Nothobranchius furzeri: one gene and its partners. The protein of the gene in region 2 interacts with the protein of the main gene of each other region in a biochemical or structural test. Links are inferred from orthologs where the notes say so. Each region holds a gene or a part of one and is shown on either strand. Other genes may lie near its edges.

Evidence for each region.
Region 1: the proteins of rcc1 (region 2) and ran form a complex in vitro, tested with the Homo sapiens proteins (6 studies listed by BioGRID and IntAct, with this or other methods). The link is inferred for Nothobranchius furzeri from reciprocal best matches to the Homo sapiens genes RCC1 and RAN.
Region 3: the proteins of rcc1 (region 2) and ranbp3b form a complex in vitro, tested with the Homo sapiens proteins (2 studies listed by BioGRID). The link is inferred for Nothobranchius furzeri from reciprocal best matches to the Homo sapiens genes RCC1 and RANBP3.

The regions. Positions count from the first base shown.
Region 1 is NC_091741.1:91,738,036-91,742,308, forward strand, and holds the start of ran (GTP-binding nuclear protein Ran), read left to right. Parts: upstream 1-917; 5' UTR 918-1,784; intron 1,785-2,277; exon of another isoform or gene 2,278-2,496; intron 2,497-2,619; 5' UTR 2,620-2,632; coding exon 2,633-2,677; intron 2,678-2,815; coding exon 2,816-2,900; intron 2,901-3,842; coding exon 3,843-3,968; intron 3,969-4,064; coding exon 4,065-4,252; intron 4,253-4,273. UniProt on the Homo sapiens protein: GTPase involved in nucleocytoplasmic transport, participating both to the import and the export from the nucleus of proteins and RNAs. Switches between a cytoplasmic GDP- and a nuclear GTP-bound state by nucleotide exchange and GTP hydrolysis.
Region 2 is NC_091745.1:40,106,492-40,110,846, reverse strand, and holds the start of rcc1 (regulator of chromosome condensation), read right to left. Parts: upstream 2,691-4,355; 5' UTR 2,585-2,690; intron 1-2,584. UniProt on the Homo sapiens protein: Guanine-nucleotide releasing factor that promotes the exchange of Ran-bound GDP by GTP, and thereby plays an important role in RAN-mediated functions in nuclear import and mitosis.
Region 3 is NC_091751.1:45,070,426-45,074,680, reverse strand, and holds part of ranbp3b (ran-binding protein 3b), read left to right. Parts: intron 1-475; coding exon 476-585; intron 586-1,338; coding exon 1,339-1,452; intron 1,453-1,688; coding exon 1,689-1,789; intron 1,790-1,866; coding exon 1,867-1,942; intron 1,943-2,050; coding exon 2,051-2,147; intron 2,148-2,426; coding exon 2,427-2,551; intron 2,552-2,643; coding exon 2,644-2,764; intron 2,765-3,274; coding exon 3,275-3,417; intron 3,418-4,201; exon of another isoform or gene 4,202-4,255. UniProt on the Homo sapiens protein: Acts as a cofactor for XPO1/CRM1-mediated nuclear export, perhaps as export complex scaffolding protein. Bound to XPO1/CRM1, stabilizes the XPO1/CRM1-cargo interaction. In the absence of Ran-bound GTP prevents binding of XPO1/CRM1 to the nuclear pore complex.

The DNA of each region.
Region 1 (4,273 bases), on a different chromosome or scaffold from region 2:
TTAACTGAGTAACTTAAATTTTCATCTTGTATTTATGACTGGGGGGGGGGGGTGGCTCTGTTGGTTAATCCTTTATTAGAAAAATAACATCTTAAATCATTTAGATCCTGTTGTTGTCAGGAATCAGTCTTGCTGCTTCCCATCTAACTGAGGTTTATATCCTCAGTAATGCGTGTCTCTCTGAGCTAAACGGCTGTTTAGTCTGGTTACATTGGTTAGTCCTTATAATGTGTTTCTGGAAATCATTTCACTATTCCCTCGAGTTCTACTTAGTAAGCATTTTTGCAAAATTTTCTTTATCTTTCGTTATTTTAGATATATGGCAGTTTTTAACCTAATGATGGTCTCATGCGGTAATGATTTGACCTGTCTCCAACTGACTCGACTATTCCTTATCCACAGAATGTTTTCTACTCAGTGGATCAGCCAGGGTTAAATACTACAGCTCTTTTGCCATTGGCTAGAACAGGTTGGGAGCTTTCTTGTTGGTCAGGCACTGTTTGGCTTGTTTTGTTGTAGGATTGGGTTAGTTTGAACTGTTCATGTGTTGAATTCATTTGTTTTTACTCACTGATATTTACAGACACATTAAAACATTTTTTATTGTTTTTAAGTTGAACATTTCAATGTAATGCTTCTCCAGAACAACTGAGGGTAATTAAATAAACCATATTTTAAACCTAGGCTGGTGTTAGATTAGTTGGAGAATTGGGAGTGAAGCATACCTGCAGCTTCTGATTTCAACCTCAACAGAATTGTTTTGACCAGTTTGAAGTGTATTTTTATATAAAGGATATAAGTAATTACTATTTTATTTAGCTTTCTGAATGGACTGAAACATTCAACAGGATTGATGAGCTAACAGCTAGTTTAAGTGCAATCACAACTTGAAAAATGTCATAGCAGTTTAATAATGTAATTTAAAAAGAGTACAAATTAGTTTTAATTCTCTCTGCTTCTTTTGTGCCTCATCAACAGTCATAACATGTTTTTCAGGAAAATTCTTCAAGCTTGTTAGATCTGTTTTATTTAACTGCATGATCTAATATAAAACACAGGCCCAGAATCATTTGAACCTATTACTTGGTCCCATTTCTGTCAGCTCTGGTTTGCAGTTTCCACTAAGGTATGAACTACGGGTGAAATTATACAAATTGATTATGTATTTTTAAACCAGATGAGTTTTAAAGGCCACTCTTTAACCCTGCGTGTTAACTTTGCTACAGGAACAAACAATGGAAGAGCCGGGGTTAAAGCATGGACATAAACACAGAAATGTCTATAGAGTTAAGTAACACATATCATCGGGCATCTGCCTCCCTTCATTACTCCGTAATCTTTAGAGAGCCTGAAAGGGGTTCCTGAAGTAGAGAAGTACAGAAAGACACTGGTGTCTGGGAAAGGCTCCTCCTGTCAAAACCTCCTTTTAGTGCAAATGTCAAATTTATGATTTATAACCCCGAAGGTCCTTGGAAGTTTTCAGAAAAGGGCAGAAACCTTTGAACAACAAAAACTAGCTGGCTTCTTATCGGGCCCATATGTCTTGATCAACACTTTAAAAACATGATATATACGGTTTAATCTCTAGAAGTGTTGCTTTGAGAACAAAGCAGCGGAGTGCGCATCGTGAAGGTATATCAGACGGATGCTGATTCATGTTCTATATTTTATGCGTTTTTGGCGCTGCGGAGGCCACGTGACCAGGGCGGAAAGTGACTCATAGTCCACGCTGAATCTGCCGCGAACGCAGCCATTTACTCTTTCCTCTCTTCGCAGTGACACCGGTGAGTCGCTAGTTTCCTCTTCAATTGAGGGCCTTCCTAAATGTCAAGTTTGGATTGTTTTTAAGTCACTAAGAATGAAACAAAACTTTTTGGGTTATTTTCTTCTTTTGGGTTAAGGTCGTTTTGCATGTGCAGCCTTAACAGCAGTTGAGGGGGAAAGGCCGTCGCATTTTTTGTGCTACCAGCTAACGGGGAAGAATGGCTTCCATGCTGTGCTAGCTGTGAGGCTAGCGAGCACAGCAATGCTCCATTTCACGGCTTTGTTCTGGGATATTTGTTCCTATTACTCTTATTTGTGTATATTTGCCAGGGAGTTTTCACAATTTTTTCTTGTTCGCAATTAACGTTATTTACGGAAGGCGTCTTGTTTAGACCAGAAATTGACGGCAACATGGAACGCATTAGCTTCTGTGACTGTCTGATTGTTCCAGTCGAACCTGAAAAAGTGCGCTCAGGCATCATATGGCGCACTAAACTAACGCCTGTTAGCTTGAAGGCTAGTTGGTAACCGCCAGTGCTGAGGCTTTTGGGGGGCACGGTAGCTTTGTTTTACTTTATATTTTGGCACACCGGAGAGCAGTTAGAGGCTGTTTGTTGATGCGTTAGCAAGCTTTCATAAATTATAACGTCGCATTTGAACATGTCGGAACGTTAGCTTGGATAGAACATGCTAGAAGTTATCCCTTAGCTGTAAACTCGTCTGTACAGAATGGTGCGTGTTCAAAGCCCCGTGTGAACAATATTCCCAGAATGCCAAATTGAGTTATTGAGAATCTTTAACTTAAATCAACGTATAGATAACACTAACGGTAGATTCCCGCCTTGTTTGTTTCAGAATATTTGGAACCATGGCTGACTCTATGGGACAGTGTGTACCTGTGGCGGTGTTCAAGGTAAGAATCTACTTCTTAAGAATGATGTTAAGTATGATCTAATTATGGCGCGTGAGGGCAAAAATGTGTGCGTTTTAGCTGAGGTAACTGGTGTACCAGCACAAACCGGTCAGTAGATAACTGGTCTGTTCTTCACAGCTGGTGTTGGTCGGAGATGGAGGCACGGGAAAAACAACTTTTGTGAAGAGACACATTACAGGAGAGTTTGAGAAGAAGTATGTTGGTGAGTAACCTGAGAAAGTTAAATGTAAACTGTACAAGACTAACCCAGTGTTTGTTTTTACCAAATTAGGTTTGCCACTAATGTTTAGAACATCACATTTACAGAAAATATTGTAAAATCGCTGCATCACAAGTTTATGACACAGACGTGTAAAATGCACAGTTCTGGTCTTCCTGTGAAATTAGTGTTTGTTGAAATTACTTCATAAAACAAGTGGTTTTTATTATTCTTGTAGTTGAAAGATAAACACAACTATTTCATGTCCATGTTATTTAAAACCATTCTCTTATCAAGTCTATGAATAATAGGCCAAATAAGAATGACTGTCCTCAGTAATCCCAAAGAGTGCAAAAATGCAGAAATTCTAAGTACTAGTTACTCCATATAGCTAGCTATAAATGACTTCCAGCATCAGTCACATAACTGATTGTAGTAGATGGAAAATCAAGCAATACCAACCTTTTTATATATTAGTTTAACAAACTTGGTGTCATTCTGCAATGTCTGAAATTCTACAACTAACAGCTGCTTTGGGTTGGTGATGTTTTTAAATGGAAAACGGTAAAACAATGAGTCAAACATTATTTTTTGTGAAACTATACAGGGTTTAAACTTGTAGATAACATCTTTGTCCTAATTTATATTGAAAAGAATTGAATGGGAGAGAAGGGAGATCCTGGATGAATACTGTTCCCGGTATTATAAATATATTAACATGTCAAACATTCAACATAAAGATGATGAATAATGTGTACTTTATTGATCCCCTTGGGGAAAATCATTCTGTTTGATTCATTCATGAGAAGCATTAAGCTACCATTTCTATGCCACCTGGGATCTGTTTTCTAGTTTATAACTTGTATCATAATTCTAGGATTAAAGTTCATTTGACCCTCTCTGTGAGTTTAGATTAATTTCTTGATCTCCTGCATCTTTTTTTAGCTACTCTAGGAGTAGAAGTGCATCCCCTGATGTTCCACACCAACAGAGGACCCATCAAGTATAACGTTTGGGACACAGCTGGTCAGGAGAAGTTTGGAGGGCTGAGAGATGGCTACTACATTCAAGGTGCTTCTTCAATCTTTAATCATGATACCAGCAGCTGGATGCATTTAGTGTCACCTTTCTTCTTCATTTGATCAAATGTACCCGCTCCTCCTACAGCTCAGTGTGCTATCATCATGTTTGATGTCACCTCTCGAGTCACCTACAAGAACGTGCCCAACTGGCACCGTGACTTGGTCCGCGTCTGTGAGAACATTCCCATTGTCCTCTGTGGCAACAAGGTAGACATCAAAGACAGAAAAGTCAAAGCCAAAAGCATCGTGTTTCATCGCAAGAAGAACCTGCAGGTAAAGGCAGCTTTCTAACGA
Region 2 (4,355 bases):
TCGGGGAACCGTCTGTGGATCTGTTCGCGGCTCGTGAAAACGCTCAGTGTCGCCTGTGGTTTTCCCTGAGTCCCCGGGACGGACCCCCGCTCGGGGCGGACGCCTTCTCACACCAGCCCTGGCCTCGAACGCTCCTTTATGCGTTTCCACCAGTCCCTCTGATTCCCCGTCTCCTGGACCGAATTCGGTCGGAACAGCTCTCGGTGATTCTGGTGGCTCCCAGACGCGTGTCCGCGTCATGGTTTCCGGACCTGCAAGCGCTAGTGTCCGGCTCCCCGTGGAGGCTCCCGTGGAGGGCGGACGCCCTTCTCCAGGCGGATGGGATAATCAAACATCCTCTGGAAATAGGCCAATGGCTGTGGGTCTGGCCGCTGAGCGGTCACGCTTAGAGGCTTCTGGGCTGCCGCATGATGTGGTCGCCACGATTCAGAGTGCGCGGGCGCCCTCTACCATTGCGTCTTACGCTGCTAAATGGGCAGCTTCCAGAACTGGTGTGCAGAACGGAATGTTCAAGCGCTCTCCTGCCAGCTGGCGGATGTCCTATCGTTTCTGCAGATACTGATGGACAGGGGCCTCGCATTCAGCACTGTTAAGACATATGCTGCAGCTATCTCATCATGTCATCAGGGTTTTGGAGATAGATCTTTTTTCAATCATCCCCTCACAAAACGTTTTCTAAAAGGTGTCAGGAGGAACAGACCTGTGTCCCGCCCGCTTTTTCCCCAATGGGATCTAACGGTGGTTCTGCGTGGCTTATCTGAAGCTCCATTTGAACCCTTGGACCAGGTCTCACTCAAGTTCCTGTCGCTTAAAACTGCATTGCTGCTGGCGCTAGCATCAGTTAAGAGAGTGAGTGACCTAACCACCCTCTCAGTGGCTCCCGCATGCCTCAGGATCCGGGAGGATGGCGGATCTGCTGTTTTATGCCCCAACCCAGCCTTTGTGCCCAAAAGCATTAATGCTTCCTTCAAATCCAGGTCAATCTCATTGGCTGGACTTTTTCCTCCTCCCCATAATTCTGAGGAGGAGGCGGCTTCTCACCTTCTCTGCCCGGTGCGCGCGCTTGCACGATATGTGTCACGCACTTCAGGGATTCGTCGCTCACAAAACCTGTTTGTGCACTACAGGGAGTCTTCCCTTGGTCAGGCGCTGTCGGCCCAGCGCCTTTCACGCTGGCTGTGTGACGCCATTTCCCTCGCTTACACATCATCAGGGCAGGATCCCCCTGAGGCACTCAGGGCTCACTCAGCCAGAGGGATTTCTTCTTCGATGGCGCTCCTCAGTGGTGTGTCAATGGAAGACATTTGTCAGGCTGCTTCATGGGCTTCCCCATGTTCCTTTACTCGTTATTATTTACGAGATGTGTCTTCAGGATCCATCACTCGTTCAGTGCTTGGACCCCAGCAGGCTAAATGAATGCTTATGGCACCCCATTGGCCTTGCTGAGATGGATTTCATCCTCTTGTGGATGATGTTTTTTAGTGGGGGCCCCTCTCTTATCGTGCCTGCCTCAGTCTTTAAGCCTGGTCTGAGGCTGAACGTCCCCCACTAGAGGAGATTTGATTGGGTGTGTCCATTGGTTGTGTTAACCAGTGGGGCGTAAACCCATCCAGCTGCGCTTTATTCCAATAGCAGCTAGCTTAAGGGCTAAGACTAGACGAAATAGAACGTTGGTTACGTTTTGTAACCCCAGATTCTATGAGTCTAGTTGCAGCCCTTAAGCCACTGGCCCCACTGGTTATGATGGGAATAAGAGCCATTGGAGGTGAGCAGTGGGGTCACTGCGGTTATATACCACGAGGGGGCCCACTATTGGTGTGCGTACATTTAAGCTCTTCATGATTGGCTGATGCAGAGATCATCCTTCCAATAGCAGCTAGCTTAAGGGCTGCGACTAGACTCATAGAATCTGGGGTTACAATACGTAACCAACGGTCTAAAATCACGCTTTCTCGGTTTTAAATAGAAATGTGTTTTAAAAAGCTCTACCGTAAGGGGTGCTTTAACCAAACCAGCATGTCAGAGACAGACAGACAGCACACGAAATACCACAAATCTACTGAATCGGAGGCTTTGCAACATTAATTACTAACCTTTAACAAGAGCACGTGTGTGTGTGTGTGTGTGTGTGTGTGTGTGTGTGTGTGTGTGTGTGTGTGTGTGTGTGTGTGTGTGTGTTGCTACAGCAGTAAACACGGCCAATTTAAACCCGTCGCCTGACCTAACACTGTTGTCAACACCCATGTGCCACTGCTAACATTCTGAGTTAGCTGTTTTACGATCCAATCTGAAGGGAATTCTTCACTCCCAATAAACGTGACGCACCTATTACACTTCCCCTAACAAACAGTAAAGAAAATACACGATTTCACATAAAATCATTTATTTTTGGGCAATAAATAAAAGCTGTATGAGACTGAATTACTTTCTAGCTGTTGCCTGCTAGCTATCGGTGTTAGCATCACACCGAGGAATGAATTCATTATTGTAACAAAGTTTCTGTTCGCTGACCAGTAATATGTTCATATGTTACTGTCGGCTGTTTGTTCAACAACTTGGGTTTAAGAGCAGAAGAGTTACTGACCTGAAAACACAGATAAATTGGTGGTTTGACTAGAGGTGAACGCTAAACTGCCTGTTCCCGGTTTTCAGACATGCAACTCACGCGAGACTTCACGTTGTTTGAAACCTGTGGAAGGCTGGTTTTCTTAAAGAGACCGCGGCACTTAAAACGCCATCCAATGGGTAATGATCTGATGTGCTATTATTGTACAGTACCATTTTTGTACCTCAACCAAGTATAGCAAGCATTTTCTTTCTTTCTATCTATCTATCTATCTATCTATCTATCTATCTATCTATCTATCTATCTATCTATCTATCTATCTATCTATCTATGTCAAATATACACATCTTGCAGAAAAAAAATAAACAAATTAACATTTAGGCAGATAAAAACTGTCAGAAGCAAACTGGAATCACAATTCTCTATGCAAAAAACCCACAATGTTATGAGCAAAAGATTAATAAATAAATAAAAATATACTGTAGACAATTTTCAAGTACTGAAGTTTTACATCCATTTTTACTGCAGAATAATTATGTCACACTATGTTTTTTTTAATGCTTATAGCATACAGGTGGCCAATTCTCACAGAAATATATATTTAGGTAACATTACATTCAGACTCAGCTTTCAGTTAAATGCTCTGCATATTTGTAACCCTTTTATGCACAGGCCCATGTCTAGGTCTCCCTGCTAGCGCCTGCTCTTTGTTGGCCTCACATGCTTCAGCATGATACTCAGACACTCTCCAGCCTGGTCTTATCTTTGTTTTAGTTTTATGTCTGTGAAAGGGAATGCTAGCCTTAAGTAGTGCATTCACTGTCATCATACAAGTTACCTACTGCTGCTATGTGTTCTACGGAAAGTACGAGTTATGTCTATTTCAGTTGATGTAATCTTGAACACATATAATTAAAATAGGTTTAATGAATTTTAGTAATTAAGTAGTTTGTATAAATGAAGCCATTCTGTTTTTACTGTTATCTAATATCTGTCTATGCTGTTAATGCTAACCCGTGGTCATTTTAAAGGTGTTTTATTTTGAAGGAACCTACAGGAAGTGCAGAGTTTTGTCTTGTGTAGCGTTATAAATGTTGCCTGTTAGTAACAGCATTCATCCGCTAGAGGTCAGAAAAATTCTTACTCTTGAAAGCAAGTCACCCCCAAATAAACTTATTTTTTGCTGATAAACTACATAAATGAATGTCGTGCTGTAGACAGGTGTAGTCAATAATTTTGTACTTTAATGCATCCTAGTTAAAATGTAAAAATTCTGCTTAAAACTGTCAGTGTTGCGCCCTCTTCAGGTAAAACCTCTGCACTGCATTTGAATTGAAATCTGCCATTGCTGTTGGCTAACAGGTACACAATGACGTTAGCTGGTACATTATGATGTCACAGTGTCGTTGTGACCCTGTGTGTGTGTGTGTGCATTTGTAAGCGGCTCCGCCCTCTCAGTCAGGGTTGGGCATCATTTGATTTTGAACCATTCCGATTCTAATTCCTCAGTTTGATTGCGGTTCCTATCGATTCCCGATTCCAATTCTTTGAAGTCATGACATGTGGTACATGAGCCAGCTAACCACAGGTCCTACTTGATGAAATAATCTTAACTTCAACATGAATTTTAATTCTATGAACAATAACATCACCTTCATTTGGACAAAAACGTGTTTTGGAGGAAAAAAGAAAAAGACTTGCAGCACAACCAGTGTGTTTGTTTCTGACCACAACCAAAGTCTGGAAGCAGCCTCTGGGATGAGAGGCTAAATGTCTCCAACATATCCAG
Region 3 (4,255 bases), on a different chromosome or scaffold from region 2:
ACGATAACTACAGGTAGGCACAGAAACAAAAGTTGTCCACTAGATGGGGCTGTCACATTACATTGAGTCACATTTTTACATGACTCAAGGTGGTACAGCTTCTTAAAGGAATATGAACGTTGCCGTCCTACACACATTTTTTTCTTTTTTTTTATTATCAGATTTGTTGACATGGGAAAAATAATCTCGATTAAAGTCAAAAATTTCGATAACGATACATTTTTAATTTATTGCCCAGCCCTATCTAGAGAGCACGTTAAACTCGCTCTAGATTATCTAGTCCAAAGTTCAGTTAAAAGTAGAAAAATTCTTTAAAAGGCCCGAGCAGGTGTGGAACAAGGTTGAGATGACGGAGAGCACGGCATCTTTACTTCTCCTTTCAGATACGAAGTCATTAGCCCCGTGTCTGAGGCTTCAGAGTGGTATTTCAGGCAAAGAAATAATTACTCCTGTTTTTCCGTGTCTTTAACTCTAGATTCCAGTTGTGGAACCAATGGTGTTAAAAAGCCGTCGGATGGATCACTTGTGACCCAATCCCTCTTCCTGAACAACAAAGAGCATTCAGCCTCGCTGGCCAAGTCACTGGTAAGAACTGGCCAAGCCTCAAGTCAAGCCAAGGCTTTCAAAGCTGAGGTTTGGCTAGGATGTTGTTGAAGCAGCTGCTTTTTGCTTTTTCCCCCATGAACATATGAGTAACAGCACACATTTATTTAATGAAGAAGAACAATAAAACAACCTTTTTTCGTATTAAAAAATCCTGGAAAATCACATAAATCTAATTTACTGAAATTCGAATGAAATTTATTTTGTCTTTAATGCAGTCAAAAAGGGTTGTAACTAGAGGTTGACCGATATTGGTTTTCTATTGCCGATACCAATGCTGATATGTAGGAGACATGGTCAGCCAATGGATAAGTACTGCAGATAGTCATGGCTGATATCTGGACGTTTTCCACCTTTTCATGTTAAATTGTCACTAATAACATCAGCTGATGCACAAAATTTCTGAAGCTGAATCAGTTTTGAACTCTGAACCTTGTGCACTGCTCAGTGTCAAAGTCAGACACCTAAATAATGTAAATTTAGAGTATTTGTTATGCGGATGTTATTGGTGAATGTAAAAATACATTGAAACTAAATTCTGCTGCAGCACCTGCCTGCACGAGGATGTGTCTGACTTTAAATCGACTTTACTAAGGACGGATATCGGCCGATGTCTAAACAAACTGTAAATATTGGCCAGATATATAGGTCTATCGTCCATTGTATTATATGCTACATTTGTAAATGGCCCTGGTTAGATGGTAAAAGAACAGAAGTCTTTGTTTTTTGTTTCAGAAACATGAAAATAAGGAAGACGAGGAGACTGATAAAGATGGAGAGAGAAGAGAGACGGATGCAGATATAGCAATATCTTTTGTGTTTGGTCAGAATATCAAAGACAGGGCAAAGGTGGGTTGCTTCTGTAGTTTTGTGTGACTTACAGTGATGGTTCAGATCAGTCCGCATGTTGGTAGACGTTAACTATCTCTGAAAAGTTCACTGTGTTGAGATTTGTTATTACCTCTACGCTCATTTTGTTTATAAAAGTCACTTTTTCTTTTTGTGTCGGTCTGAAAGACTGAGAATTTTCTGTTGCGGTTTGTTGTTCCGTTTCATTAGATGCTGTTGTCTTTATTTCCCTTTAGTTGGATGAGAACAGTACAGAAGACAACTCAAAGAACAATGTGCAACAAAACTCTCAGTCAGAGGGCACGAATTATTTCTTACAGTACATCTCTACCCCAAGGTAATGACATTTTGTCCTGTGTATAATTTCAGCTGAAATCTTTGTGGAGACTTACGTGTTTCTCTCTTGTATTCTAGTTCAAAAAATGCAACAAACAGTACAGACGGTGGAGCAAAATTTGTATTTGGGCAGAATATGTCTGAGCGAGTTCTGGTGAGTTCATTTGGGTGGTTGCGTGGTTTGCCAGTGGTGTGCTATACTGGAAAAACTGTGATGATTTAACGCCAAACGGGTTCCACTGATCAGCTGTTGTGTTTGCAGAGTCCCCCAAAGGGAGAGGCCTCAAATGAGGAAAATACGGAGGTTTCAGCTGCTTGTGCTTCAGAGCCTTCATCACAGGAAACTACCCCCGAAAAGGGTAAAAATACAATAATTCGTTCAGTTTTGGGGATAAATGGATGTTGTTTTGCCTGCTTAGCAACAAATGTGGGCCACAAATGACAAATTCTAGTCGCTTACTGAGAAGTTGCTGAATCCACAGCAAAGATGGATTAGCAGCTTGATTTTTGGAGTCACTGTTTTAACTATAGATGGTTCCAGTCCCACATCCTTTTGCTTGTGGACGTTCATACTGAAGTGACTGCTTTGTCAGTGTTGGAATCACAGCAGCCTGTTAAGTTGTGTTTCGTCTCAACAGCCAACAGTGTGTCAGAGTCTTTGGCGGAATCCGCAGCAGCTTACACCAAAGCCACAGCCAAGAAGTGCATCTTAGAGAAAGTCGATGTGAAAACTGGAGAGGAGTCGGAAAGCAATGTTTTACAGGTATGAGACGAGGCAGGGCTTCTGAGTGTGGCGCATGCTGTGACTAAACACCGGTGTAACACAAACCTTTGCTGTTTTTCTTTTTATTACAGATGCAGTGCAAGTTGTATGTTTTTGAGAAGACGGCTCAGTCGTGGATAGAAAGAGGTCGGGGGTTGTTGAGACTCAATGATATGGCTTCGACGGATGACGGCACACTTCAGTCTCGCTTAGGTAAACGTACCTGCAGGCTAAAAAAATAAACGTAGCACCGTTGATACTGTTTGAGTGTTTGAGTCTCCCCCAGCAGTGTTCACTTTCATCACCGTTACGGTTCATGTTGCAAGAAATAAATTATCATGATGTACGCTCATGTAAGGTCACAGAAAGGAAACCTACATTTCGTTTTATTCCTCATCATGCACTACCTCACTTTGAGCACAAGGGGGAGACGAATCATTCCATGATCCTATTAAATGGACATCACATCACACGCAAGAACTTGGATCTGGTTGTTTGGTTTTTACTTTATTGTTTGATGTAAAATCTATTAATGTCAAATTTGTTTTGAGTTGAAGTTTCTTACTTTCTGTTTACATTTACACGGCATTAGAAATTATTCCTTGTCACAATACTCTTGTTTTCATAAAAAACTCATATCGTTTATGAAGTAAATGAAACAAGTGGCTTCTTCAAGCTGGGCCTCAGCACTGACTTGTCATTGTGTGAATGATGTTATTCCAGTGATGAGGACCCAGGGCAGCCTGCGGTTGATCCTCAACACTAAACTTTGGCCGCAGATGCAGGTGGACAAGGCCAGTGAGAAGAGTGTGCGAATCACCGCCATGGACACGGAGGACCAGGGGGTCAAGGTCTTCTTAATATCAGTATGTATTGTTGAACATCTTACTAAGTTTTATTTCTAGGATAACATTTTTTTTATTCATTAATTTCCTCAATAAAAATACAAAACGTTTAGTTGTTATTAAAAAGCATTTCCAGATGATTTAGTAAATGGGCTAAATGAAAGGGTTTGACTTAAACTCACCCACTCCTGTTGCCATCAGTCTGACCCTTGGATAAATGTGCTTGTAGAGAAATAAGAGCCAAAAAAGTGGAAACAAGAGAAAGATGGAAATGTAGATTGTTTTTGTATAAAGTAACGCAGACGTTACCTGCTCCTCTGCCCTACTGGTTCAATGCGGAATTACAACTACTGTAAATAACCCTGCAGCAGCCTGCTGTAGCTAGCACTACCAACAAGCTAATACTAACATGTGGCAAGTCTTACTAAATAAGCAACAAATCAAAAAGATGGACAAACAATAATATTACCGTATTGACCCGGATATAGGACGACCTTGATCCTAAAACGACCCCCCTTTCCAAGACTAATCTTAAGGAAAAGGCAAAAAAAAAAATCACTTTTTAAATAAACAATTTTTATTGAAATTTTGAGAACAAATACTGAGCAAAAATACTATTTTAATGCAAACTATCAGAACTTTGCTGACATGTGAAATAGGGCTGCAACTAACGATTATTTTCATAATCGATTAATCTGTCGATTATTTTTTCGATTAATCGATTAATCGGTTTGTTATTGTTTAGCTATTTAACCTATACAAGTGATGGATGCATTTCAGTTAAGAACAAAAAAACATAAGAGAATTGTGCAGTTGACTGCAATCTATTTTATTGCACATGAACACAGTCAGCAGTATA